7 linked regions of the Bombyx mori genome follow. The protein of the gene in region 7 purifies or fractionates together with the protein of the main gene of each other region. This does not show direct contact. Links are inferred from orthologs where the notes say so. Each region holds a gene or a part of one and is shown on either strand. Other genes may lie near its edges. The genes, in order: puff-specific protein Bx42, interleukin enhancer binding factor, pre-mRNA-splicing factor SPF27, small nuclear ribonucleoprotein Sm D3, small nuclear ribonucleoprotein sm d2, splicing factor 3B subunit 1 and cell division cycle 5-like protein.

Region 1 (3,937 bases), on a different chromosome or scaffold from region 7:
ACTAATTTTGACAGTGTTAATGCCATTTCATTAAATACTATTCAATCACATTTGACCCAGTACAATATATTCTTTTGATTAATTGCACTTTAAGTGACTTGTATGAGTGACTTAAATCATCACATAATATCTAGTGATGATGGTAAGACTATTTAAAAGTTGATAAGCAATTACAAGAATCCTTGGAACATAATATTACCTATATATTAATTAGGTATTCGGGCACCAGAAGAGGATGTGGAACAGCCCGAGATAGATGAGAGCGGTCTCAGTGTGGCGGAGAGGGACAAGCTGAGGGCTGAGAGGCACAAAGAGAGGCAACGCGAAAGAAACATGGCTCGAGCAGCACCGGACAAAAGGTGAGTGTGTTTTTCTTCATAGTTCTCGTATATGAGTAATTGAGATTGATTTAGTATTGTAGATCGGGACAGCTTGTCTCGTTATAGGAACTAGTGGTCCCGCAGTAGTCGAAATTCGACTATAATTAATTTAAGTTTGAATATTATTAAGGTTCTATTATCAAAGACTATTTATTATACTATAATCACAGATTTCGCCAAGACTACACTATAGACAAATATTAATAAATACAAACAATATTTAATCTGTTCTCAATTTGACCACAGATTATAAGCAATAAAAGTTTGACAATAAACAAATAGTATGCATGCCTGTGTGTGTCAAATACATGGTATGGTGGTGTCATATTTTTTTATTCATTTAATGTATATTTTATGCATAATTTAAAAAAATCTTAAGATTCTTTTTTTTTATAATAAAATATTTTTTTCTTACTCTATTTTTAATTGAAATTTATTAAAATTTATTTTCTATTTTTTTGGTTGGATTTTCTATAAACGCGTATTTTGTTAGTTTTTTTTTTAAACTATTATATATCGTTAATTCCAGGTCCAAATTCGCGAAAGAGCGGGAACGCGACATCTCGGAGCAGATCGCGCTGGGGCTGCCGGCCAAGACCAACCAGGGCGGCGAGGCCATGTTCGACCAGCGACTCTTCAACAACAGCAAGGGAATTGACAGCGGTAAGGCTAGAGGCCTCACAGTTTGTCTTCTTCTTTGTCTCCACCACATCCCCCCAGGTGGGGTCGGCGTAGCGAATGTTCGGTAGGCAGCGGCTTGGCTCTGCCCCTGGCATTGCTGACCTCCATGGGCGACGGTAACCACTCACCATCAGGTGGGCCGTATGCTCGTCTGCCTACAAGAGCAATAAAAAAATTTTTATTCTATTCCATTCTCCTCTATTAACCATCATCTCAACACAACCCTTTTTTTTTCTTCTTTTTATATTGCTTAGATGGGTGATCGTAACGTGGACGGTGGAATCAGTAAAGCAGTCATGCATGCCTGTTTAAAGGTTAGGACAGACGCAATGCTATTGAGACATCGACCTCATGTCTCAAGGTCGATGGTCGGCATCTAGTTGGACCACTCCTACTCATCTGGGACAAAAAAAGTCATATCAAATACGCATGTTTTTTTATTTATTACTTATGAACTAGTGAACGTTCTCACGGCTCACCTGGTGAACATGAAAAAAAAACATAGTAACGGGTATACTTTTTGCCACACGAAATTCAACCTTAAATTTATTTAAACAAGGTTACGGAGAGGACGACGCGTACAACGTGTACGACAAGCCGTGGCGGAACCAGGACAACGTCGGGGCGCACATCTACAGGCCCAGCCGGCACGCCGACCGGGACTCCTACGGGGACCTCGAGGCCGTCGCCAACACGCGCAGGTGACCCTGACCGCAGGGAAACTCTTAATTTAATATTCCCGAAAATTGTGTGCACTGAATATGTGTGGGTATATGTGCTTGGTTGGCATGCGCCACAAGCCTTTTTACGGATTTTGGGTCGGATTTAGAGTTCTGGAGGCCTCAGGGCTTAGGAGGAGCGGAGGCCTCCCTAGCCCCAAAATTTTAGTGTTAACGTCAAGTAAAACAACGAAAAAAGCAATGTCGAAGGAGAAGAAAAGATTTACTAGTGTTTACTTGTCGGAATTGGAAAGATTTTTTTTCCAAAGTCTATTGTGGGGGCCCCGGTTGCTCTCACCTAAATCCGGCCCTGAACGGATTCTAAAATGCGAAGTGTTATTTGTCTCAGTTGTGAGATTAAAATATAATAATAATCAAAAACGTAGGAAAAAAACTAATTTAAATGAAATATAAAATCAGACTGCGTTTAAAATATTTATTTAAAAAGCTAAAACAATCTTATCATTTCAGTTAGGATGGTTTTTTTATTACTCCTACTTTATTACTCTATATTTTTAGTACTCAGACAACCATGTATGTCTTGATAGCAGTGCCTTCTCCATTATTATTTTCAAATGATTCCTGCTCTCCCCGCGAATGGGACTGATTTTAGGATGCCTTGTCTATAGACAAGGCAGCTGCATACAATCTTACCCAGTTCTGCAGTGAAACATTGTGCATTCCAATGTCTATTGATATTTAACGGCCGTTTGGTGTAGTGGTAAGTGACATGGTCACTACACAAGGCGGTCGCGGGTTCGAATCCCGCCAAGGGAAGATATTTGTATGATAAATATAAATGTCTTTTCCAGGGTTATGGATGTATATTAAATATATGTACGTGTATAATAAAAATCTTACATTTATTTCCGTTATCTGGTACCTGTAGCACAAGCTCTTTACGAACTTAGCACGGGACCAGTTAACGTGGCGTGATTTTTATTAAATTTTTTTTATTGATATAACACCGGATAGACCGATAATCCAATAAAAAAATTAAAACTGGCAAATCTGTTGTATTACATAGATGTTTGAGATGGACATTGTGTAGTGTCAGTGGCATATGATATGAGATGTCATGTTTGTTGACAGATTCGTGGCGGACAAAGAGTTCGCCGGCACCAGCAGCTCCAACACCCGCTCTGGACCGGTGCAGTTTGAGAAGGATGCTCCAAGCAGAGACGAATCCGTGAGTTCCCATGGGCTTAATATGAACAGTTGTGATTGAATTAGGAAAAGGGTTTATAATGGTTACCGTGCCTGATGTTTTTATATGGGTGAAGAACAGTCTCAATATGTTGAAGTCGGGACATGTCTACTATTGTTTTTGATGATGAAGGCATTGGGACATTGGTTTGCTGTAATCTCCTATGAGTAGATAGCAATGTCCTGCCTATTTTTCCTGTGCAGTAGACCATGAGATCTCAGTAAGATAATCACTTAAATCCTAGATAAGCATTAGTGATCAACGATGATTTAATAAAAATATCAACAAACTTTATAATTACAGCAGTGGCTACCAAACTTTTTTTTGTCCACTGTCCTCTTTGAGAATAAATTATTTTATAGCGCCCCTATTTTTTCACCTACTTTAAAAACTACTAAAGCGAGAAAAACTACTACAGCGCCCACGAGGGGGCGTTATCGCACACTTTGGGAAACGATGAATTACAGTATTGCTTCAGTATAAATCCAATCCCTCTTACCAACGCTGACACACACAAACTACCAGAGTTGTTTTTAAATTAATTTTCTCAATGCTGTAGCTTATTTTTCATAGCTGTTTTTTTTAATTTTTTTTTTTATTGCTTAAATATGTGGACGAGCTCACAGCCCACCTGGCGTTAAGGTGACTGGAGCCCATAGACATCTACAACGTAAATGCGCGACCACCTTGAGATATAAGTTCTAAGGTCTCAAGTATAGTTACAACGGCTACCCCGCCCTTCAAACCGAAACGCATTACTGCTTCACTGCAGAAATGGGCAGGGTGATGGTACCTACCCGTGCGGACTCACAAGAGTTCCTACCACCATTATAAATGTATTTTGCAGTCTCGCAGCAACCAGTCGGAGGCTGACTTCGATCCGTTCGGTCTGGATCGGTTCTTGAGCGAGGCGAAGAGAGCCGACAAGTCGTCGAGGAAGCGCGACCACC
Region 2 (3,937 bases), on a different chromosome or scaffold from region 7:
ACTTCTTTAAACATCTAATATATAAAATTCTCGTGTCACAATGTTCGTTCTCATACTCCTCCGAAACCGCTTGACCGATTCTCATGAAATTTTTTATGCATATTCAGTAAGCCTGAGAATCGGATACTATCTATTTTTCATCCCCATAAGTGATTAGGGTTGTCCACCCCTAACATTTTTTTTTTTTATTTGGACATTTTTTTTTGTTATAATGAGGTATTATGTGGTTGAATGAGGTTTTGTTATTTTTATTATATATTCCCTCATCGTTTACAGCACTACATACCTCTTTCACTCATTTACCACATCCTTACACACTTACAATAAGTTAGGTTTTCTTTGTACACTAGAAATTCCCTAGAAATCTTATATATGGCAAAACAATGTTTGCCGGGTCAGCTAGTAATAATATATAAAAATGAATTGCTGTTCGTTAGTCTCGCTAAAACTCGAGAACGGCTGGATCGATTTAGCTAATTTTGGTCTTGAATTATTTGTAGAAGTCCAGGGAAGGTTTAAAAGGTAGATAAATATGAAAATGCTCGGAATTAAATAAAAATAACAATTTTGTTTTTCCTTTGATGTGTCCCCTGTCGGATGGATTCCTTTTGTTTGTTTTATGTTTATTTTATACAAAAGTTTAGGCCTTTTATTTATCGATTGCGGCACTACGAAGTCTGCCGGGTCAGCTAGTTTCGAATATTTTTGGAAATTGTACACTTTCAATGCGAAAATACGGTATGTATATAATTCATGATAACTCACTTTAATTGATGAATGATGGGCGTTCTCTTCAAACCAGCGACTGTGTCTTATCGCTGCTAGATGACTGCTTATCACTTTATAGTCTAAATGTACCTACAAATAAATAATTATAATAAATAAATGGGTACAAATTACTCATAGTCATCTGGAGTCTGAAGTCGTCGTGGCCTAAAGGATAAGACGTCCGGTGCATTCGTATCTAGCGATGCTACGGTGTTCGAATCCCGCAGGTGGGTACCACTTTTTCTAATTTAATACGTACTCAACAAATGTTCACGATTGACTTCCACAACGAAGGTATAATCGTGTAATAAAAATGAAACCCACAAAATTATAATACAGGTAGGTACCACCACGCTGCCTATTTCTGCCATGAAGCATTAATGCCTTTCAGTTTGAAGGGTGGGGCAGCCGTTGTAACTATACTTGGGACCTTGGAACTTGTATCTCAGGGTGGGTGGCGCATTTACGTCGTAATGTTTATGGGCTCCAGTAATCACTTAACACCAGGTGGGTTGTGAGCTTGTCCATTCAGCTAAGCAATAAAAAAAAAATTGGGTACAAATTACTTGTGATCATCTGACCCCAAATTAAAATTCACTGTATTGTGGGTGCCAGATTGACAAGCATACTCATATACAAATATACAGTCAATGAGCTAACAAGCTTATTCTCACACGAATGTTTGCCCAATGTGGGAATCAAACCCACGACCCTGGGCCTAACAATCAGGGCTGCTAACTTCACAACCAAGTTGATCATAACACATAATAAATGAGTATGGATATTCATGAATGCTTATTGATGCTCAGTATTCATTTATAGAAGCACAGATATATTATATTTAAATATTAAAAAGATGAAAGTATATAAATCATAAAAAAAATATATAAATTAATTTGTTTGCCATGCTTCTCTTAAAACCTCACTTAAAATAAATTTAAGTTCCATGATCCACACCGAGCTGTAGACCAACTACATATATTTCGATTTCTATTGAACATTAATTTCCCTCTTTTTATTTTTATTGTTGATTGTTTTTTTGTATGTTTTTATATGCAGTTTTTTCTTTTTTCTTTTTGTTTATTTGTCTTAATTTTAATATTAGTTAACGATATTTTTATCTAACGCTTTTAAGCAAGATGTGTTCACACCCAGAAAGGGTGAATTCTATAATGTATTATTTTATGTAAATAAGTTCAATGTTTATGTGTGCAGATTTTATCTAGTTGTGTGAAGAGATAAGGTTGACAGGAACTAAGTACAGAACTCGGCTGGAAAACCACCCAAATACCCTAGCTAATGCATTGACAAAAGTCAGTTACATCAAACGACTGAAACGTCATGATATACAGGGAGTTGGTGACATATGGTGATCAATGAAGAGTATTCTGGTGGGGAGCCTCTTGGACGCGATGGCACACGTAACGCATCTGCTCACAGTCCAGGGCTGATCGCAGATAGGCACAAAAAAAAAAGTTGTGTGAACCTAATAAAAAAATTAAAAAAATTAAACAAATACTAACATCAGGCTCTATCTTCCTTAAGTTCTGATGCAGTGTTGTGATGAGGACCCTGACGGCTGCGGAGGTCCCGGTGACAGTGAAGCCGCGCTCGTGACACGCGCTCACCACTGCACCGCTGCCTTCAGCCTTCATCAGCTTGTTCACCTCCTCGTTAACCTGAATTAAACCAACTACTTCAATCTGCTTTTACATTGCCATCGCACACAGAAGATCCACTTAATGGTGAGCGGTTACTGTGGCTTATGGAGTTCAACAATGCCACCAGCACATCCAAGCATTACTTAATAATGAGTTACTGTCATTTTAAGGGATTTTATCACCTGGTAACTAAGACCTTTAAGTCATGTCTTATTTTAATTTATATTCATATTTTTATGAAAAATGATATCATGGAGTGAAATGAAATGAAGATGATTAATTTGAGACCTTAATCAACTGGGATGAAATTAAATAAAATGAGATGAGATAATATAGAATGACATATATAATCTCAGTAAAATGGTGGTAATTTACTAAGATTTTTTCAGTGGACTTTTTGGAGGATCCCGAAAAGTTACGTCCAGCGGCTTTGTTTTATTTTCCCACATTTGTGCACTTTCACAGATATTAAACAGTTAATAAACCACCGTTATTACGCATTTAAACCTCAAGAAACACTAAATAGACAAAATAAAACAAATCACACAACTTAACTCCTTGCGTTCCAGCCAAAAAGTTGTGAGTTACTGTCGGAAGACATTTTAACCTTTTTTATTTGCTCAGAGTACATTTCATAATTAGTTATTTTGCTTCAATTAAACCTCATGTTTAAGGTTACGAAATCAAACAGACACTGAAAGTTCTTACCTTTCTTGAGATATAAGGACAATGACAATTGTATATATTGGTATATCGTATTGAAGGACATATTTATGGTAGTCTACGCCTTTGGTACCTATTCTATAAACATATATACACACAAAAGTGTACCTTATTGGAGAGTCCCTCGACAGCCTCTTTCGTTGGCAAAGTTTTCATGATGACTACGATATCAGCAACGTTCTTCCCGGCCATCATTGTCCCCTTCTTGTAGGACCCAACTTGCCGCACTTCTTCTAGTTGCTGCTAACCAATACATGTTTATATGATTTATCACAATTAAGATTTCTACAAACAATAATATAAAATGATAACAAAAAAACGAAACATATAATACACAAAATCACAGTCCAGTCTTATCGCTAAGAGCAATCAATTCACATAGACAAAGAAAGGATTAGGCACCAAATCAAATCAAAAAATTTTTATTCAACATAAATGAAAGTACATACTTGTTGAACGTCAAAAGAACTACCGCCAATTCACAAGAACTAGCCTCCGTCCTGAGAAGAATTAGCAAGAAACTCAGCGGACATGTCTTTTTTTTTTTAATGTTTTTTTTTTTTTAAATATTAGTTTTTTTTTTTTTTAACCGTTCTATTATCACCAGTGAAACTAGCCTGTTTTCGTTTGTGTAATAAAATATATTGAAGAGTGAAAGGATATTTCGTTTAAGAGACATTTTTGTAACTTAATAGGAGCCATTTGAAGTACACAGTTTTGAAAAAAAAAATCATAACATAAAAACTACTTCAGCTATTTCAGTGGAGTAAACTTATTGAAGTTCA
Region 3 (4,394 bases), on a different chromosome or scaffold from region 7:
TCTATTTCGTGGAACTAAATAACGTTATTATTTTATGGCATTCTTTTCGAATGGACACGTGTGCCTGTGTACCATCTTGTTTGTCAGACTTACTCAGTTTATCGTTAATCAATTGCTGTCATTAAGTGATAAACTTAAAATAGTGAATTCGTTTGAATCCGTAAAATCTCTAAATGAAATTCAGAGGGAGCATTAGAGAGAAACTCGGGTTAGTGAGAAACCTCTATAAGCGAGAATGAGATTGTGCTCCCTTGAACTCTCGCTTATCCAGGTTTGACTGTAATAGTTTGGAGTTATATAAAATCCTACAAGCAGTTCTAACCTACTGTTTCTATGAAAGGCAATAAGGGTCAAAGCAACAGACAATTACTTCCCTAGGCTCTATAATCGAAGATAGACTCCCTGTCAAACTAACAACCATTTAAATATAATTTCTATGTTATACATCTCTTACCGTAACTGGTTGTGTTCGTTTTGAGCTCTTGTGACTAATGCTTGAAGTGTATTGAGGTATGATCTCCATGCTTCTGAACCGTACTCTAACTGCAACTCTAAATTGAGAACTCTGATAGCTTGGTGTGACAGCTGTGCATGAGAGTTGTCAACTGACTCGGCCCAGGCACTTGGTTCACTCATTCTTCCGACTGGAGGGGGTGGAAGTTCATACCTGAGGAATTAATTATACATAATATTTCAATAGTTTTTTTTTTAAAACCACATTCCTGTGCTTCACTACATCACGTGATCACTCAATAGTGATGTTTGTTAACATGACCAGAGGATTTGGCATATTAACAGTCAGCATCACAAGATACCACTTAGTAAAAGTTACAGACCTACATATTATATCTCCTCACAATCTTACTATTACTTCATTATCATCATGTTCATACTGTGGCATCAGTAGCCAGGCTGACTCAAATACCAACTTAGCTTACAAACCTATCAACTTAATTGAAGTCGTCGTGGCCTAAAAGATAAGACGTCCGGTGCATTCGTGTTGAGCAATACACTGGGTGTTCGAATCCCAGGCGAGTACCAATTTTTCTAATGAAATACCTACTAAACAAATGTTCATGATTGACTTCCATGGTGAAGGAATTACATCATGTAATCAAAATCAAGCCATTAAGCAGGCCGAATGCAGGCAGCATTGGAGGAAGCTGGTGCAAAAGCTGGACCAAGGTGGTCACGACCCTCAGTAATGAGGAAACGACAAAGAAGAAGAAGAAGAAGAATCAAAATCAAACCCGCAAGTTTTTATTTACGTAATTACTGATGGTAGGACCTCTAGTAAATCCGCGCGGGTAGGTACCACCATCCTGCCTATTTCTGCCGTGAAGCAGTAATGCGTTTCGGTTTGAAGGGTGGGGCAGCCGTTGTAACTATACTTGAGACCTTAGACCCTATATCTCAAGGTGGGTGGTGCAAATTAAAAGAACAAAATAATAAATAAAAAAAATTGCAGGTTTTATGCACCTCTTCATAGACAATGGTTCCATCGGCAATCTCTGTTGCACTCTTTCCATCTCTCGTTGTAAAGCAGGAGTTTCAAATGCAGAACTTGGTTCTGGTCCTGCATTTTCAAGATAGTTCTTTGTGGGTCTATAGCGTCTGCACTCTTCTTCCACCATGGCCAATGCCTGAAAATCAATTCCCATATTTAAGGGTAGTTTAAGGAGTCTTCTATAAGTAGGTTTGATTATAAGGACATTTTATACTGCAGTATCAATAAGAAGTGCTTTAATAATACTTTTTTGAGACAGCTTCCCAGTCACACAATCAATTATTACAATAGCAATGAAACAAAATAATAAAATCGTGAATTGAATTGAATTTGAAATTGACATTAAAATTGAAAAAGAATTGAAGCAAAAGTGCTTTGTAGCTTACAGTGTATGCAAAAATTCCTAGAAGTTCTGCATTTCCTAGACTGACCAAGATGAATATTACCAAAATTACTTCGTTTTGTATCACTCAATGCAAAAAGGAACAAACAGAAATCTAATTTCAAATTGATCTTTGGCAGTGGTCGAACCAAGACTATACAAATCGGTTTATTCTAAAGGTGAAATTATTCCATTTCGAAAAAGGAAGTCCTTCGAAATAGCATACATGTTCAAGAAACAACGAAAAAAAAACATTTTTATATAAATCTCTCAGCGGTGACTGCGCATTTTGAAGCAGACGAGAATATAACCCACATTTGTGAAGTGTGGTCGTTCAGACCAGCAATACCAAAATGATTATTGAATTTCTTTCTCTAGATGTCAAAGCTAAAGCGATATGAATCTTTGTTGTAAAGGAAATGGTCCAAGAATTAAAAAAAGTAAGGTTATCATAATACTTACAGCTTCTCTTACTCCAGGATCGTCATATCCTTGGTCTATATATGGTAATGCATCTACGACAACTTCTCCTGCCATTTTCTACAAAATTTATAACTCCCTTTACTACGAATGGGTACTGTGATTTATCACTTTATATTAAAGTTTTAACGCTGTTCTTTGTTTATTTGATTTTAGTTGTGTCACTTGTGTGACATTCTTCGTTTGAGCTAGTTTTAAGCCTAAAATGAACAGGCAAAAGAAATATAGTCCATATAGCTAAATCTTTTGAATTCCTCGATATTCAATAAATTGATATTAAATTAATATTATATTATAAAATGGAATTTAATGAAAGAAGAACACATCGAGTAGATATTAGATGAGTTGATAATGAAACAATGGTGCTTACTGAGAGATCAACGAACTTATTTTGAAAATATTCTCGAGTGGCAGCCACACACGACGCAGCTTAGATAGACTTTCGACGAGGTGAACTGACGTCCTACTGAAAGTCGCAGGAATCTAATAAATACGGTCGCTGCACGTCTAGGAGTGGATGATTTGTGTGAACACGTCCAATGTTTGTTTGATTTTTTAAAACTTGTGCCATTTCACATGTATTCAGTGATTAAAAAGCTTTCATTACTACAAAATTAGACATTTTATTACAGATACATTCGCGAAGCAGTTGCCCTTAGCTGTTAGATCTCCTACGGAGTCGTGGCCAGGTCAGGCCTTCGGTACTTTGGAGGATTGGCTTGTGCGGCTTTTCGAAGCCTGCCTTGAGCCCGGACGGAAATCGGACAGATTCATCCTTCTGAGGAAAGAGGAGCTCCTCTAGGAGTCATCCGTGGTGTACCACCACATCGTGTTGCTGGACGAAACTAGAAAATTGTTGGAGCAAGTCGTGGATGCGTCATCTGCCCCATCCCCAGGACGGGTTCCAATCGGTCAGCCGAACAGTACGGCTTCAGAAAGGGCCGGTCTACCATCGACGCAATCATGCGTGTGTGTACCCTCTTTGATGAGACTGTTGCCCGGGGCGAGGTGGCAGTTTCCTTAAAGTCTCAGTAAATAACCATCATTTTACTTAGATTTCACGCCAATTGATTATTGTTTCAAATTAATCAACTCTATTTCATTTTACTTCATATTATCATTTTTCATAAAATACAATGATAACTTAGGCTGTATCGTATGATACTTTTGCCTTTCCAGTTGGAAAAATAGAACTACTACAAATATTGACAGTGGACAGTAGCACTATTGTCAAAGAATAGTGTTATATTGATAAATGTAAATTAATGATAATAATGTCAGACTTAGGTGGTGGTACCGTACCTACTGTACCTACTGAAATATTCCTTTTAATTTGCTTACATACTCTTTTAACGTAAATAAATAGGTACGACTGTCACGGAAGGAAAAAGATTGTTATTGTAAAATAATTAGGTGCTTTTTATATTAAACTTAGTGTAATTAAAACTCGTGGACCTATTAGTCAATGTATTGAAATGTAATTCAATTTGGTTTTTTCAGTAGAACAAAACAAATTCAAGCTTCCAAACCACAAGACAAATTTCTTTTTCGTCTTGTTTATATTCTACTGAAAATGACCATCCAAGAAGATTTAACTCAATCCGAATCCCCACAAACGGATTTAACTAAGGTTTTAAATTTGGAATTATTATTATTTGTTGTAAAATTTAATGCAGTACAAACTTCACGGCCTTGATTATCTTTATAAACTTCCTAATTCTAGAAAACACAATATTTTTTTATAAATGAGAATAATTTATTTTTAATATTTAAAAAACAAATTGCAGGTTGCGGCATTACATCAAAAACGTACATTGGCATTTGTAAATCATTTCCTAACAATAAATGTACAATTTCTGAATAACTTTATGACGAATTGCGAGCAGAAACTGATGCAGTTTGAGAGAAAATTAGAAAAAGTTAATGCTGCCATGGTTTTGTTAGAATCTAAGGTGATTATATTTTTATAAATTATTGTATGTAAACAAAAACGGATATCTAAAATGTTTTTATTTTCTATCATTA
Region 4 (4,580 bases), on a different chromosome or scaffold from region 7:
GCCATCAACTTCATGTAACTTTAACCATTATTTACTTTACTGGTTACTGTACCCTGTGATCACTCAAGATTAACTGATTTTGCGGTAGGCAGCGGCTTGGCTCTGCCCTTGGCATTGCTGAAGTCCATGGGCGACGGTAACCACTCACCATCAGGTGGGCCGTATTGGGCGACGGTAACCACTCACCATCAGGTGGGCCGTATGCTCGTCTGCCTACAAAGGCAATAAAAAAATAAAAAAAAAGATTAACAGACAAATCTTTCAACAAAGTGGCTGATTCAGCACCCATCTGTTTAAAGCTGCATTCCACCAGCCCACCACCACGGTTCCTATTGCGTATTAGATTCAATAGAAGCGGAGGGGAATGTGTAACTAAAATTGGACAGCTCTGCAACAGCTGGTGCTGAGGTGCTGATGTGCAGTGTGAGCTTGTATGGTTAGACACCACTGTCCTGTGCGTCTGTACAGTGAAGCCGTCATGACTTCTATTATTATACTATCTCAGAAGCAGTAGTGGCCAGTGGAATTTGACTAATAATAATTATAGTTAGTTGACACTGCGTGTCTCATAAATAAAAACACTAGTTATTATCCAAATTGTTTTTTATTTGTTTTCAATCTTTTGATATTCACACCCACAACGACACATCCTATCACATATCTGCTGACAGTCTCAGTAAACTTGTTACACTGTTTGTAACTAATCTAAATTCGAACATAAAACATTCAAATTAAAAATATTTTGCATAAGAGGTTGTCGTGTCCTAAAGGATAAGATGCCGAGTTACACACATTTAACAAACATGCATGATTGTTGCAGGTTTTATGCTGCGAAGCATTCCAATTTGCCCATTAAGACAGCATTTATCCCAAACAGTACAACTGGGACTTTGATCTCAAACCTCATGGTAGGTGCAGGCCTTCATAAAGTCTATAGGCTCCAGTTACAGTGCAAAAAAATTCAAAATTATATGGATAAAACATTGTCAAAACTCGGCCATTGGTTAAGTTTGGTTTGTACAAGGCAGTTTATAATAACTTTTTATATTTAATTACAATAGTCACCCCCGCATAAACCACACATAGATATTTCCTCAAGCCAAAACAAGATTGAACTATTACCCATCATATGGACAAGATTTCTAGATTATTGGGACTGATATAAGGATAGAACATAGAGATTAAACATTGTATTGATTGGGAGTCACAATAAGTCACCATAGGGTAGCATCAGTGTGTAGTGTCTATTTGATCAAATGGTCCATGAGACCTAAGATGTGTAAAGCAGATTGAAGGGTGACCAAAATAAAAAAACAGAAAATCTGGAACAGGACCTTATTGTTACATTTGAGAACATAATAATAATCTTTGAACAAACAGTTGTTCTATTTCCAAAATTTGTATTTTTCTCACTTAGATATATCAATATATAAGAATGATAATGAAATAATTCCTTGACAATTGAAATATAAGACAAGTACAACTTAAGCTATCTAAAAAATATCTTAACGCTAGCGTCGAGATGGTCCTGACCCACCTTGCCAGCCTCCACGGTGGCCCCCACCTCTTCCACCTGCTCGTCCTCGACCAGCAGCTGAAAATTTCAAAGATTTGTATTTTACTTCTTGATTCCTCTAGATGTGTGAGTAAGCTTACAACCCACTTGATTAATGATTTACTGTGGCCCACAAACATCAAAATAAGGATGCTGGTTGGCATGATACTTGAGATGAGTATGAAGAGATACATATATTTGATCGCTCAAATGTATTGTAGTTACTGTCCAGCCCGTCAAATCAATTCACATTCCTGTTTAGCAACAGAAATTTGCCGTAATTATTTAAATACACAAGAATGGGTTTTCACAAATGTAATAGATACAGTTATTAGTTTGCATAACATTATGTAAAATAGGTTTTACTTTAGATGTGTGAGATTGTGTGCATTAGGTACTTGACATGGTCTCATCATTCACATATTTTCTTTAACCACCCAAAGTAAAATTGTCAATAACATATAGTTGAATGATTAGAAACAATTAACATTGGAACAAAATACTGATTTGATATTACAAAACTTAAAATTGCAAATTTGACATTGTATGTCTATATAAGCACTCAAGAATGAAAAATTGTAAAATATTCTCAATTACTATTAAAAAACTGTGACAAAAAATATCTATACAGGATATAAACAAACAAGACATTTAAAAAATCAAAGCTTCAAACTACCTATTTTTTGCTCATTTGACCCAATTGATCACTATGTATTCAATGCATTTGTACTAATTTTAATGAAGGCTATTTATTGATTGTAATTAAATGTGCTTATCTTTCATACTTGCATACGTTTTCTACTTAGAAATTTTCGTTTAATAATTTGGTTATATAGTGCAGTAATTGTTAAATAGACTTCACTCAAGTCTAATTTATAACAAGCCTAAAGAAATGGGTTGTTCTAAGCTAAAGATGTTTATTCTTTTTTAAGTCTTTGAATTAAACGAAATTAAGAACAATGCATATTCACAATTTCAGTGCTAGATGTAATTAGACTGCAAGTCAGACAGCACTCATTCATATATTAACACTCGTATGTTGTCTTGTTGATAATGAACACAATCACTACGTATGTGATGCGAGAGAACATTTAGGATACCTAGCTCGATAAACAAATCACATACACACTATTTTTATATTGTTCAATACCTTGGGCTCGCAGTATCGCACTCTTCCCTCGTCCTGCAGTAGGTTTATTCCCTTGTCTTTTGAACATTGGCGCGTTCTTCAACATGTCCGGTAATATTAAAAATCTGATCTTGGAACCACGGATGTACACATTCTCGAGCTGTGCAACTCGGCCATCTCTGTATGTGACTGTTACGAGAGTCATTTGGCAATTCATATTATCCTCAGCTTCAATTAATTTCCCTCTATAAACTTCACCGGTATTTGTTTCACAAGTCACTACATGACCTTCCGCCTCGTGAAGTACTTTAATAGGCACACCGATAGACATGTTTACGTTTTAGTTAAGAAAAACGTACGATAAAGGACAATAATTCAGTATTATTTCTTAGATTATTTACGATAAAAATGGGAAAGAATATTTCAAAAAAATTAGACGCTTCAAATCCATAGACATCTAATGTAATATGGCGGCGAGTTCCGTGCATAGACAATAGACATTTTTATTCATTCATTGACAGACAAAGACAACATAACCCATATTACCAAAAATCCATTATGATTTTTAATTCCCTTAGCATTGTGAAAATCAACTTTACTGGTGGTAGGAATGGTAGGATGTCTGCGAGTCCACAGAGGCAGACAACACTACCCTACCTATTCCTGCCGTAAAGTAGTACTACCTTTCGGTTTGAAAATGCAAGAGCATCGCAGGGTATAACTATTGAGATTTTGCAAAAAGTTAAATGTAATCTTAGTTAATTCCAACCATTTTTCTAAATAAATTACATTTCACTGTACATAGCCTAATAGACCTAGTTTCATTTGTAAAAAAAGCTAGGTGCTTAGGCTTTATGCTTGGGGTAGCAAGGGGGCGTGTAAATAGCCCTCCTGCGGCGGGAGCATATAAAGCGGGGTTGTAGAAAGGCGTGTAAATAGCCGTCCTAAGCGGTATGTGACAAATGTTTGTCACTTATAATTAGCGGAGCGGTAAAACTATATAGCGGTAAACAAAAGCTAGTAATCAAACTAAAGATATAAATTAAATACACATAAGCGAGCGGGCGGGCGAATGATTACACGAAGCAGCAATAAAATGGCAATAAATTAAAAGAACTTGCACTCACCTGTAGATCTTGCCAGTGACTGTCGTGCGGGCGTCGGCGATGGAAGCACGCGGGCGGCGGGAGGGGGTGACGAAGCTCACGTAGCTTTTCGTAAGCTCAAGCACCACACAATATACAAGTGCCGCCATCTAGGCAGCTAGCGGTAAAGCGTGATCGATCGGGTAGAACCACGCTTTGGGTAGTCGCGGTAATTAGTTACTGACAAACTCCAAAGGTGGCGCCATCCCAATAATTCATTAGCATCCCATTACTAAATCCGCGTGACCATCCTGCCCGCCTTGAAAGTTCGCAGGACTTTCAACAAATATATAAAGATACTAAGATAGGAAGCATAAAGCTTAAATAGCGGGAAGTTATTTGAAAAGAAACAAATTTTAATTAATAATAAGCCATCATGAATGTTTACGAGTAGAGTTGAAGCGGTTGATGACATGCGGTACTCTAATTTATTCTAGCGGTAGCGGATATAATTTTACAACTGGACGTTTAAGAAATCCAGATTTCGTTTTTACCAAAGCAACGCGTATAATGTTATCGGCACCTGGATACACCTCTTGTATAACTCCAAGTGGCCAGCGGAGCGGTGGAATGTCATCTTGATGAATAAGAACTACTGTCCCAACCTTCACGGGGTTATCTGATGTACACCACTTCTGTCTGACTTGCAACGTATGCAGGTACTCTAATCTCCATTTCCTCCAATAGGAATTAACCAAACCATCTAACAACGCTTTGCGATTAGTCAGACTCATCTGATTTGCGGACAATT
Region 5 (3,504 bases), on a different chromosome or scaffold from region 7:
ACTTAGGCAAACGTTTTCAACCGCATACGTACCTACAAATTTGAGTTTACTTTACTTTATCGAGAACGTTAAAAAACTCGCACTAAGCACATGGGTTGGAATCGCGACCCACTGTGAAGACCCAACGAGAAACTCGGTGATCTCCGTCTATGGGTGAATTTGCTAGTGATCGACGAGTTCGATAAGGAGGGTAGCCGGTGATTGAGAGGCCTAAAGCACGGAGAGTGAATCCGGGGGATCTCACAAGACATGTTTCGAGCGACGGTGGCTTTGCGTTGCCGCGTCGCGTTCGGATAAGAGAACATCTCCTAATGGTTCAGCTGCTGTGGAGACTTACCGGCTCGAACGCACTGACAAACAGACAAAAATCGATTTTAAGAGTTCCTTAAACAATAAAATATACTGAAATCGCTTTCATTTATTTTCCTTTTCTTTAATACGGTAATGAAATAAAGAAATTTAATTGAATATGAAGTTCGTTAACATAAAATAAGCATGGCATATACAAAATTGCTGATTATATGATCATGACTTTGTATTTTAAAATTTCCTTAAGCGCCTTATTCACGATCCATCTTGCTGTACGTCCCGCCAAGGCCATGCACGATGCACGATGCATTTAGCGCTTTATTCACGATCCGTCACGGCTGTACGTCAGCTCAAGACCGCAGTGCTGGATGTATCAAGCGCGAACAGAATAAATCGAACGAATTAAATGAGGGTTTTAAGTTAAAATGCCAGCTGCTTTATCAAAACGCCAAAAATGGGAGTCCTTCTGATGTTGTCAGCAGCAGCAGAAGAGAGGCAAAAAATAGCAAGAGGTTTTGGATGATTTTTTTAAACGTGCAGAGTATACTCAAATAATTAATATCATTTTTTACGCACGCTATCAATCCTTGCAGCTTCCCCTAAAATGGGCCTAAAAATTGTAATACGTTTATTATTTTTGGTTTATTCATATAGTCTGCGCTTGAGACATTCCACAAAAATGTGGAACTTATAACTTTCAATAAATCTTGAAAGGGTTTCACGATCCATTTTGACGTGCAGTCTCCTTTCGAAACTCTTCGTTAACTTTAATTTCAGTATTACCACCGTCTTTTTACGATTTCATCAATGTCAGTGTCGAGTTAAAAACTGACATTTAGTGGCCATAATTGTTTGTTGAAATAATACTTTTTGGCGGGAACGCGAGGAGTGAAGTTGTGTGATTTGTTTTATTTTGTCTATTTATTTAGTGTTTCTTCAGGTTGAAATGTGTAATAACGGTGGTTTATTAACTGTGTATTATCTGTGAAAGTGTACAAATGTGGGAAAATGAAACAAAGCCGCTGGATGTAACTTCTCGGGATCCTCCAAAAAGTCCACTGAAAAGATCTCAGTAAATGACCACCATTTTACTGAGATTATATTATATTTCATCCCATATCATCTCATTTCATTTTATTTCATCCCAGTCGATTAATGTCCCAAATTAATCATTTTCATTTCACTCCATATTATCATTTTTCATAAAATTAAGAATATAAATTAAAATAAGACATGACTTACAAGTCTTAGTTACCAGGTCACAAAATTCCTTACAAAAAATTGTTGAATTAAAAAGCAGAGTCACCATAGACAAAATAAAGCGTCGACTTAGCGTGTGTACGATAGTTTTGCTGTAATTGTAATCTTTTTCACTCAATTTCTCAGTTCACAAGCCCATAAAATAATACAAAATGTAAGTATTAATATGATTTACGTAGTTTTAACAATATATTTAACATATTATCTGCTTAGCCGGTAATGGTCAACAATAACTCTAATGTTAACCTTATTATAGGACGTCAACAACTAAGCCACGCTCTGAAATGACCCTAGAAGAGCTATCTAAAATCGAAGAGGAAGAGTTTAGTACCGGACCTCTTTCCGTGCTCACGCAGTCAGTAAAGAACAACACACAAGTTCTGATAAATTGCCGTAACAATAAGAAACTCCTGGGTAGAGTGAAGGCTTTCGACCGGCATTGTAACATGGTATTGGAGAATGTTAAGGAAATGTGGACTGAGGTACCGAGAACTGGCAAAGGAAAGAAGGTAAACAGATGTTACTGTATTTCAGTTCAATTGATTCAGAAATTTGAGGTTATGTATTGGAAATAGGAACCACTCCCAAGCGCTCATGTATAAAAGTGCTACAGCTCCAACTTGAAAAGTACACAATAAGACATGATGTCGCGTATTTTAGGCCAATATTAGCGGAGATAAAATACAAACCACTGGAAATTCCCAAGATGACAATTATGTGGATATGAAACATTCTGTGTTAGCTCATTTCATTAAAACTCTTCAAATTCAAAATACGTATAACTTCTGGTTTTATTTTCAGGGCAAAGCTGTAAACAAGGACAAATTCATCTCCAAAATGTTCCTCCGCGGTGATTCTGTGATCTTAGTACTAAGGAATCCTCTTGCTACAGCTGCAGGGAAGTAATGCAGTAATTAGTTTAAGTATTAATGAATAAAATATTCAGGAAATGAATAGCTTTACTGGTTCATTCCTTAAACTGTAATAATACTTTTACAAAATTGGAAACTGTGTTAGTTCTATGATTCTGCAACTATATGTAATAAATAAACAAACTCGATATTTTAATATATTGAAATTGTATCAAGTTCACATATTGTAAGATAAAGCTAAAAACGATCAGTTATTATAATGATGCATTAAAAGAGTCTCACCAGTATTGTTGTTAATATTAGCATAAAATAACTTCATATTAGTGGCTGAACATACCAAAATTGAAAAAAAGATACTTACTTTTGGTGCAAGTAGTAACTAACAATTTTGTAAAATATAGATGCTTTAACATTTTTAAAGAAACATGGCAAAATTACAATGGTCAAGAAGTCCACAAACCTGTCAATAAGTTTATAATTTCTATAATAAACCAAAGTGTAAAAGTGTGTTTTTAATATGATTTTTTTCATAGCCCCTTATTAATTTGTGCAAATTAGATCTGATGTACATCATGGGATTAAGCTGTGCAGTCCAGTCCAATATTTTGTTAACATGTTGGTTTCATGACAGACACTATGAGTCCACAGCATACTTTCCCCTAGGGTAAAAAAATGTAGTGTTTTTTCAAAAATATTCTCAAGAAATTACTCAAAAGTAATGAGTGAGGTATGGAAACAGTGACTAAGTATTGTTTTCTGAGATATTTCAAATGGCAGACAGTGTCGTCATAGACCTAAGTAAATGGTTGTTACAGGGTGTCCACCATTCCACTGGACTAAACATGATTTCTAGTCTGGTGTTCAATGTGGTAATAAAATTAGAACTGAATATATGCAAAGGTCTTCACAATAAGGGAAGAACTTCATGGAACTTTCAAAAATGAAACTATAATAAAATTACTGTTATTACTGTCTGTTTGTTATACTGTCTGTTTTTATAATAGACAACTATGTATAATAGACAACTATATGTCTCAAAGCTATGAAATCTAAATCAAAGTGA
Region 6 (3,937 bases), on a different chromosome or scaffold from region 7:
AATCTGTTTTTATTGTATTTTCTTTTTGTGTACAATAAGTATAAATAAAAATAAAATAACTCATTAGGAAGCAACTTTTTTGTAGAAACAACATCGTAATTCGTTGTAAAACAAGAGAGTAGAGATCACTATTTTCCAATGGATATACAGATGTGTGTGCATATTATGTGTATGCAACAACTGGCCATCTCTCTCGCATATCTATAAATCATATTACATTAATAGCAATAATGTTATGAAACATTAAATTGTTTTTTATTTTATTATTTGAAATCTTTTGAATTGATTTGATATTGATTTGAATAGATATTGGTTAAAATCTTTTGTTATTTGAAAATTAACCCCACCCCATACCACTGCAAAATGTTTCTAAATCAGAAACTTTAATTAAGAAATGTTTATATGTAAACTTTCTTAAAACATTTATAGGCGATAGAAACATGAAAAAATCAATAAGCACCAAAAATAGAATTACAAAAGAAAAAAAAGAGACATACTTTTAAGACGATTTTTTTCATTTCTTCATCGGGCGACTGGAACTCACGAATAAGAATTAGCATCACTTCTCGTGTGTAGTAATTCGCGTATTCTGCATCCATGAGAGGGATGAGGTATCCGATGGCTTTCAGGAATGCAGCCAGACCTTTACCACGATGCGTACGAATACCTTTCCACAGAGGTTTGAGCACGGAATCGAAGGACTCGATACCGTAGGGCGTGGCGGCCTCGGCCAGAGCCGCGCTCGCCAGCGCCGTGATCGTTCGGACCTTCTGTTGTTCGTCCACCAGACCTATTGCATAAAATGAATTATTTAAATACTGTAATTTAAGAATCTTTTTTTTCCCTACCTAAGCTGAAAGCCTTGAGAAGCTATATCAGCGTAACCTTAACTAGTAGGTAAGCTCACGGGGCTCAAACCTGACGACGTTGCTAACACGAACCCTAGCAAGAGCCGTGCTTCGCAGAATCTACCACCGGATCGGAAACGCGACCCACTGAGAAGATTCGGCGAGAAACTCAGTGGGCTGTGTCTGAGGGTTAATTTACTCGTCGAGCCCTTCGTCGCAAGCGACGGGTTCGACAAGAACGATGGCCGGTGCTTGAGGTACCTAAAAGCACCGTTAGTGGATCCGGAGGATCCGAAATGACGTGTTTAGAATCAACTAGACAACCGAGACATTAGTTATGTTTAATGTAAAACTGAGCGGCGGTACAGACGATTCTATTGTGTCCATTAATCGCTAACACTAGATCGCATCTGTTCATCAACGAAAATAAAATAGTATGTAGTTAAGAATAAAAGTTGAATGTCTTACTTAGAATACTAATGCAAAAAATAAGTATTATCTACCTATTATTACAAAATATCACCAAATATTGTGTCAACAAATACATGGCGTAACTATATCTTTGGGCTACATTATATTTATAAATCGAATAGAGGTAAATATTATTGTTAAATAATAATTTATAATAATATCAATTTTATTTTTATTTTATTGCCGTAGTAGGCAGACGAGCATACGGCCCACCTGATGTTGAGTAGTTACCGTCGCTCATAGACGTCAGCAATGCCAGGGGCAGAGCCAGGCCGCTGCCTGCCGCTTAATACTCTCCACAAGCCTCGTTTGAAGAAGGACATGTCATAGCGCTCGGGAAAAACCGGGACCTTATTACATTATTACAGTAAATGTACAAATACAAAAATATATGTTTATACTAATGATCGTCGTCAAGTCATTAATGCAAAGTGATATCCAATTATGTTAATTGATTGGTCTTTAATAATGTGTAAAGTTTCAAATTAATCAGATGTTTCTTAGTTATTAAAAATTACTTTATAGGATTACACAGGTAAAAATACGGGTTAAACTAATAGAGGCATATTAAGAATACACTGATTAGATTATATTCTATGGTTTACGGAAAAGATTGGTGTTTTTTTTTTAGTATAGTTACAACAGCTGCCCCGCCTTTCAAACCGAAACGCATTACTGGTTCACGGCAGAAATAGGCAGGGTGGTGGTACCTACCCGTCCGGACTCACAAGAGGTTCTATCACCAGGAACCACTAGGTGTTGTGGCATTCCGAAAGTTTCAGTAAATCCTTAAAATATAATTAAAATATTAATCTTACCATGTTCAATAATTTCAACAAGAGATTTCAAATGTGGCAGAATAGCACAGCCCATCAGAATAGCAATTTGTTGCACAATCTTTATTCCTGTGTGACGTGCTTGCCAGGATTTCTTAGATCTGCACACAGCTTTTAAAAATGGCAATAAAGATGGAATACCTGGAAAAAAAAAGATTTCTTTTATGGTGTTGAAGATGTGTTATGTTAACAACAGCCTATGTTAAAAATAGCTTATTCTTAGGATAGGAATATAATAATAGGGAATAGCAAGTATGCAAACTTGAACAAATTATTATAATTTCCCCATAGACTTAACCATACCACTAACTCAAATCATCATGTTCATAAGACTGTCAAAAAGATTGACAGCAAACTATAAAACAGATTAAATTACATGTGTTAGTACGGACCCTGTCAGTATTTTTTTGTTTTTAGAGGAAACACCATAGAGGCATAAGACGAGGCGAGGGACAAGAAGACGACAGTAAATATGCCCTTTAAAAAATAATTAAATATTCATATGACAAAACTTACCCAAGGCCGATGCCACTACCGCAAACGCTCGAGCGGTTGTGTTTCGTACATACTCATCTATGTTGTCTATATCAGGCCTCATTGTAGAAATCATAGTAGCCAAGCCGGCTGCTTTAGCTAAATTTGAAATGATCTCGCGACCTTCGACACGCGCATAATAATCTTCATCAATAAGCAGAGGTTCAATGACGACAAGAATCTGACAAAATTCAAATAATTTAGGATAAAGAAAAATAGGTTTGTTCTAATGTCCTTAATTACAATTAATATTTTGATGTTTTCTTTTTTTTATTATAATATTTACCTTATGTACGTAGGGTCGAACCAAGTCGTCTAATTTATACAAAATCCTGTCTATGACTTTGACCAGTAGATGTCTCTCTTGATCTTCCAGCGTAGGACTCATCAGTAATGGCAGAATTTGATTGAAAAGTGGTCCAGCACCGAATTCGCGAGCTTTATCTGTTATTTGTCGTAAGGCAGCTTTGCACATGGGTGGCGTACCGTTCTGCAACATGATAATAGCATTTTGTTTTTTAATTTTTCACTCAATATGTTTACATCAAAATCAAAATGATTATTTAACGTTTACGGTAAAAATCATCGAACCTTTATTTTCAAAAGAAGCTTCATTATTTTCCGTTCCTTAAGTTCGTCGGGAGAGAGTGTATCCTCGTCGACGTCGATGAGAAGTTTGTCGAAGTACTGGGCGTCCTCGGGCTTCATAAAGGGCAGCTGCTGGTTACCCTTGGGCTGAGGGTCGAGAAGACGCGCGGCCGCCGCGGCCGAGCCGCCCGGCTCCTCCGTCTGCATGAAAAACCCGATTGGAGTACCACCCAACGGCGTGGGCGTCGCCGTCAGCTTGCGGGCCGGCGTCCGAATCGGGACGTACCCTGGGCAACAATACTTGCTATTAGGTTTTATTTTAAATTTACAATCGTAGATAGGCAGACGAGCTCAGGGCCCAGCTAATGTTAAGCGGTGACCGGAGCTTATATGCACCACAGTGTGAATGCCGCCGCCCATCTTGAGACATGTGATCGATATCACAGTTGAGTTAGTTGAATTGTGATTATTCTACCCGACAATCGCTAACACACTTCTTTATGCCAGAATACGCTGCTGCTTGGAACTCCCCCAGCACATAAGACAACAATTGGGGGGTTAAAAACGAAAAGAAGACGATGTTGTCACTACAGGTATGGACAAATTCTCGAAGAATATTAGTAGTAAGTCGTAGTTGGTGTGTTTCATCTCAGTTCACCA
Region 7 (4,515 bases):
CCCGCCTATTTTCGCCGTGAAGCAGTAATGCGTTTCGGTTCGAAGGGTGGAGTAGCCGTTTTAACTATACTGAGACCTTAGAACTTATATCTCAAGGTGGGTGGCGCATTTATGTTGTAGATGTCTATGGGCTCCAGTAACCACTTAACACCAGGTGGGCTGTGAGATCGTCCACCCATCTAAGCAATAAAAAAAAAAAAATAATTGTAAAAACTTATAATTTTGATTTCTCTTCAATATTTTAATTTTCAACAGTTATTTAAAGTTTTTGATATTTGGTCTATCAATGATCACAGTAGATCTACTTTTGATAGATGGAATTAAAAAATAACATACTTGATCAGTAACTTGTGGCTCTGGCAGCACAAGTTTGCTGCGTTTTCTTGCCGGAGCATCACCTTGTAGCATGGCTTGTGGCACATCATTTTCCTTGCGTTGTTTTAACTTTTGCTTATCCTTGCGACGTTCTCTCTAAAAATATTAGAATAAAATTTTGTAATAAAATAAAATCTTTATAATTTTTAACCACAGAATAGATAGGTAGAAAAAATATACATGAATATAAAAAAAATGTAGATAGAAGCAGCATCTCATATTCCCTACTTCCTTACTTCCCTAACTTAACAACTTTAAGTATAAATTAAGTACATGTAACCAACCTCCTCTTTCTCAGAATGTAATTCACCGTCAAGGTGTTGTTGTCGGAGTCTTGAGAAATCAGGAGCCATGGGATCAACTACTTCAGTCGAAGTGTCATAGAAACCAGACGCTGGTCTCTTTTCAAATGGTATCTCAGCATTATAATCAACGCCACGTTTTTTTTTACGCCTGGGGAACAATGAAGCATTATATTAATAATAATATTATTATAAATAATAATAATAATAACAGCAAGTAGGCTATCAGCTTGTTCATCCGCCTATGCAAAGACAATCTTAAAAAATATAAAAATGTTACTCAATTTTACACGACCAATTGAATGTAAAATATTTACTTTTTTTTGTCTATTTCATATACATATAACTTATTGTGTTTTTAAACCTTAATGGTACAGCTATCCCAGCAGCACTGAGTTCCCTTCGCTTCTGTAGTGCAGCAAGACGACGGGCCTCTTCTAATTGCTTTTCACGAGCCTTCCTTTTAGCTTTCTTACCCTGAGTGTTAGCTAAACGTGCACGAGCTTCTGAGAGCATCTCCAATTCTAGTTATCAAGAATAAAATTATAATCAAAAATCATGAAACAATACAATTCTAAGCTTTGGCTGTGAAGTACATGTACAGCACTCGTTCTTTACCCTCAAAGTCTATAGTGTACATTTTCTAAATGGCCTCTCTAGCTGGTGTAAAAGTATCACTCTTAAAGCCAAAATTATATCGTGATCAACAATAATTTTTTATCTAGTCTTCATTTTTATAAATTTGAAGGAAAAAGATCATTGTGACACAAAAATGAAACACAGCACGTGTAAACTTCTGATGTTGTTCACACATACATTCTTAAAGATATACAGCTAAAATGAGTATATCACTTATGGGACGATGTAAAAACTTGTTGCTGTTGTTGAAATCAGCATGAAGTGCATCATCAACATACTTGGAATTCATAACTATCACTAACTTGTCTTCATTTTTAAGAGCTAATGGTTCTTTTTACATTCTGTGTTTTCAATTATGCAAAAATATACTAAACTATACAGTGAACTCTAACCTAAATTCACATTATTAACTGAATTCATAACTAAAAGACTAAATGATTTTTCAAATATGATTTGCTTACCATCTTCATCCATATCTTTTGGATCAGGTCTAGCAGGTTTTGTTTCTGGATTAGGATCAATCTCACCAGGCTTCAGCTTACGTGGATCATCACCCATGTCCTCACCTTCCTCTTTCTTTTGGGCTTGGTCTCTAGATGAGAATTAAAGGAGTTTACAGAATTTTATAATATTCATAGATAAGCATCTGTGGTCTGACAGATTGTGTTGTGAACCTGTGTTTTTGTTCCATTTCTGTTCCATTTGCCGAAGATCCAGCATTTTTAAACTGGAAAATATGCTTGAAAGAAGAATGCTTTAAACTTGAAAAGCGAGATAGCCGTTGCATAAAACAATTGATTTCCACATTATTTCTAAAGCTGTATGGCAGTCACATTCACATTATGATGTCTATGAACCCCATCTGTCTATTTAGAATATTAAAATAATTGTATTTAATCATCACACAAACTACAAGATGGTCAATTCAGATCTCTAGTTCTACACTATCTATCTTGCTTACTGTTGCCTGATTTGTTTAGTGTGATTAATTATTGATGCTAACACCAAAGCAACTTTTTCAGATACCTATGTGAGTGATTGAAACCAAACCTAACTACTTTACTCTGTTTTATTAGATACAAGGAACTCAAACTTAACAAGATAATTAATTACTTACAACAAATATTCGTATCTTTCCAAACATTGTGCAGCAGTACGTCCGATGATAGGAGCAATGGTCCTCCACTGAGTTGGCATCAATTTGGCCAAGTGCAACAACTTCTCGTCCTCTTCTCGGGACCATTCTGTTTTCTTTATACTTGGATCTAACCACTCGTACCAACGGGCTTTACATTGTTTTGCAGATTTACGATGGAGCAACGAAGCTATACGAGACCACTGATTTTTCCCATATTTCATTACAGCCGCTTTAAGGATTTCATCCTAAAGTGACACACAAATAACATTAGTATTAAGGAATCATAAGAAAGTATTAATAAAGAATACAAAATAGTAAAATAACAAACCTCGGTGTTGCGCCAAACGCCACCTTTTATCATAATCCGGGGCATGTTGGATAGTGTTTATTCAGCTTATAAATAAATGAAATCAATTAAATTTGAATAACTACTACTTAAATATGCAATAATTTTCATTAAAACGTCTCCATTTAGCGAAAATTTAATAAATTGAGATGTAAGGATAAATCAATGAAATCTAAATTCTATAATCCATCGACATTTTTTTTTGTACAAATTTTCCTTATTAGGAAAGGCAAGGGGATCTAAGCCCATATAGCCTTTAATCCATAGACAATACATACACAAGATATAGGTAAAATAAAAATTTCAATATATATATTTTTTATTTTATGACCTAACGTAACATAGACCTTTAGGTCATATCTTATTTGTTAAACTATACAGGGTGTGTGAGAACTCAACGTCAAGCCGAAACGGGGTGACAGGATTGATTGTAACCATCATGAGAAAAATCAGAAAAAAAATCTATCCCATCCAGTTTGGAAATTATGGCCATTAAAAACCTAGAAATTTGGTCAAACTTTAACCATTTTTCGGTTATTGTGGTTAATTTTTGTTATTTTTGTTCATTTAAACTTTGGAACCGTAACCCTACATAACATTTCTAGAACCGCACTCAAAAATAATGACACAACTGCCCCAAGTTTTCTCATATGAAGTCGTCGTCGCCTAAAGGATAAGACGTCCAGTGCATTCGTGTTGAGCGATGCACCGGTGTTCAAATCTCAGGCGGGTACCAATTTTTCTAAAGAAATACGTACTCAACAAATGTTCACGATTGACTTCCACGGTGAAGGAATAACATCGTGTAATAAAAATAAAAGCCGCATAATTATAATTTGCGTAATTACTGGTGTTAGGACCTCTTGTGAATCCGCACGGGTAGGTACCTCCGCCCTGTCTATTTCTGCCCTGAAGCAGTAATGCGTTTCAGTTTGAAGGGCTGGGCAGCCGTTGTAACTATACTCGAGACCTTAGAACTTGTATCTCAAGGTGGGTGGCGCATTTACGTTGTGGATGTCTATGGGCTCCAGTAACCACTTAACACCAGGTGGGCTGTGAGCTCGTCCAACCATCTAAGCCAAAAAAAAAAAGAAAAAAAAAGCCATCATGAGAAAAATCAGAAGAAAAAAATGTGTGTGTGCATGTCACACACATTACGTGTGACACGGTAGAAGTGAAACTTATAAAAATTAAAATAATCGCAAGAATCAACCAACCCGCAGTGCAATGGAGCAGCCTCACCCTGTGGAAACCGCCTGCATAATCACGGTATCCCTACGCCAGGTAAGTATGATTTAGCTTTTTTTTTCCTACCTAAGCTGATAGCCTTGCGAGGCTATTTCAGCAGAACCTTAACTAGTAGGTGAACTCACGGGGCTCAAATCTGACGACGTTGCTAACACGAACTCTAGCAAGAGCCGTGCTTCGCAGAATCTACCACCGGATCGGAAACGCAACCCACTGAGAAGATCCGGCGAGAAACTCAGTGGGCTGTGTCTGAGGGTTAATTTACTCGACGAGCCCTTCCTCGCAAGCGACGGGTTCGACGGGAACGGTGATCGGTGCTTGAGGTACCTAAAAGCACCGTTAGTGGATCGGGAGGATCCGAAATGACGTGTTTGGGGTGATGTCGACTGCTTTCCATTCTTTTGATTTAGCAAGAGAAATACGAGAACATCTATCAACTGTGTGACATCTTATGACCGTGATTCAGG

The links.
Region 1: the proteins of cell division cycle 5-like protein (region 7) and puff-specific protein Bx42 purify together in Homo sapiens (affinity purification with mass spectrometry; 5 studies listed by BioGRID and IntAct, with this or other methods). This does not show direct contact. The link is inferred for Bombyx mori from reciprocal best matches to the Homo sapiens genes CDC5L and SNW1.
Region 2: the proteins of cell division cycle 5-like protein (region 7) and interleukin enhancer binding factor purify together in Homo sapiens (affinity purification with mass spectrometry; 4 studies listed by BioGRID and IntAct, with this or other methods). This does not show direct contact. The link is inferred for Bombyx mori from reciprocal best matches to the Homo sapiens genes CDC5L and ILF2.
Region 3: the proteins of cell division cycle 5-like protein (region 7) and pre-mRNA-splicing factor SPF27 purify together in Homo sapiens (co-immunoprecipitation; 8 studies listed by BioGRID and IntAct, with this or other methods). This does not show direct contact. The link is inferred for Bombyx mori from reciprocal best matches to the Homo sapiens genes CDC5L and BCAS2.
Region 4: the proteins of cell division cycle 5-like protein (region 7) and small nuclear ribonucleoprotein Sm D3 purify together in Homo sapiens (affinity purification with mass spectrometry; 3 studies listed by BioGRID and IntAct, with this or other methods). This does not show direct contact. The link is inferred for Bombyx mori from reciprocal best matches to the Homo sapiens genes CDC5L and SNRPD3.
Region 5: the proteins of cell division cycle 5-like protein (region 7) and small nuclear ribonucleoprotein sm d2 fractionate together in Homo sapiens (co-fractionation; 3 studies listed by BioGRID, with this or other methods). This does not show direct contact. The link is inferred for Bombyx mori from reciprocal best matches to the Homo sapiens genes CDC5L and SNRPD2.
Region 6: the proteins of cell division cycle 5-like protein (region 7) and splicing factor 3B subunit 1 purify together in Homo sapiens (affinity purification with mass spectrometry; 5 studies listed by BioGRID and IntAct, with this or other methods). This does not show direct contact. The link is inferred for Bombyx mori from reciprocal best matches to the Homo sapiens genes CDC5L and SF3B1.

Annotation. Positions count from the first base shown.
Region 1 is NC_085130.1:3,035,387-3,039,323, forward strand, and holds part of puff-specific protein Bx42, read left to right. Parts: intron 1-214; coding exon 215-359; intron 360-909; coding exon 910-1,043; intron 1,044-1,620; coding exon 1,621-1,762; intron 1,763-2,872; coding exon 2,873-2,969; intron 2,970-3,834; coding exon 3,835-3,937. UniProt on the Homo sapiens protein: Involved in pre-mRNA splicing as component of the spliceosome. As a component of the minor spliceosome, involved in the splicing of U12-type introns in pre-mRNAs.
Region 2 is NC_085130.1:10,889,393-10,893,329, reverse strand, and holds part of interleukin enhancer binding factor, read right to left. Parts: intron 3,396-3,937; coding exon 3,261-3,395; intron 2,448-3,260; coding exon 2,292-2,447; intron 859-2,291; coding exon 766-858; intron 1-765. UniProt on the Homo sapiens protein: Chromatin-interacting protein that forms a stable heterodimer with interleukin enhancer-binding factor 3/ILF3 and plays a role in several biological processes including transcription, innate immunity or cell growth.
Region 3 is NC_085118.1:940,976-945,369, forward strand, and holds the start of pre-mRNA-splicing factor SPF27, read right to left. Parts: upstream 2,884-4,394; 5' UTR 2,740-2,883; intron 2,570-2,739; 5' UTR 2,427-2,569; coding exon 2,352-2,426; intron 1,644-2,351; coding exon 1,480-1,643; intron 668-1,479; coding exon 455-667; intron 1-454. Other genes in the region: WASH complex subunit 3, read left to right, coding at 3,943-3,999, 4,157-4,321. UniProt on the Homo sapiens protein: Required for pre-mRNA splicing as component of the activated spliceosome. Component of the PRP19-CDC5L complex that forms an integral part of the spliceosome and is required for activating pre-mRNA splicing.
Region 4 is NC_085122.1:328,208-332,787, forward strand, and holds small nuclear ribonucleoprotein Sm D3, read right to left. Parts: upstream 3,204-4,580; 5' UTR 3,016-3,203; coding exon 2,706-3,015; intron 1,595-2,705; coding exon 1,512-1,594; 3' UTR 586-1,511; downstream 1-585. UniProt on the Homo sapiens protein: Plays a role in pre-mRNA splicing as a core component of the spliceosomal U1, U2, U4 and U5 small nuclear ribonucleoproteins (snRNPs), the building blocks of the spliceosome.
Region 5 is NC_085132.1:3,761,820-3,765,323, reverse strand, and holds small nuclear ribonucleoprotein sm d2, read left to right. Parts: upstream 1-1,645; 5' UTR 1,646-1,721; coding exon 1,722-1,723; intron 1,724-1,825; coding exon 1,826-2,078; intron 2,079-2,370; coding exon 2,371-2,475; 3' UTR 2,476-2,726; downstream 2,727-3,504. UniProt on the Homo sapiens protein: Plays a role in pre-mRNA splicing as a core component of the spliceosomal U1, U2, U4 and U5 small nuclear ribonucleoproteins (snRNPs), the building blocks of the spliceosome.
Region 6 is NC_085116.1:8,407,054-8,410,990, reverse strand, and holds part of splicing factor 3B subunit 1, read right to left. Parts: intron 3,565-3,937; coding exon 3,281-3,564; intron 3,180-3,280; coding exon 2,976-3,179; intron 2,871-2,975; coding exon 2,672-2,870; intron 2,297-2,671; coding exon 2,138-2,296; intron 791-2,137; coding exon 498-790; intron 1-497. UniProt on the Homo sapiens protein: Component of the 17S U2 SnRNP complex of the spliceosome, a large ribonucleoprotein complex that removes introns from transcribed pre-mRNAs.
Region 7 is NC_085115.1:11,711,853-11,716,367, reverse strand, and holds the start of cell division cycle 5-like protein, read right to left. Parts: upstream 3,086-4,515; 5' UTR 2,828-3,085; coding exon 2,783-2,827; intron 2,700-2,782; coding exon 2,434-2,699; intron 1,909-2,433; coding exon 1,778-1,908; intron 1,202-1,777; coding exon 1,042-1,201; intron 829-1,041; coding exon 660-828; intron 472-659; coding exon 337-471; intron 1-336.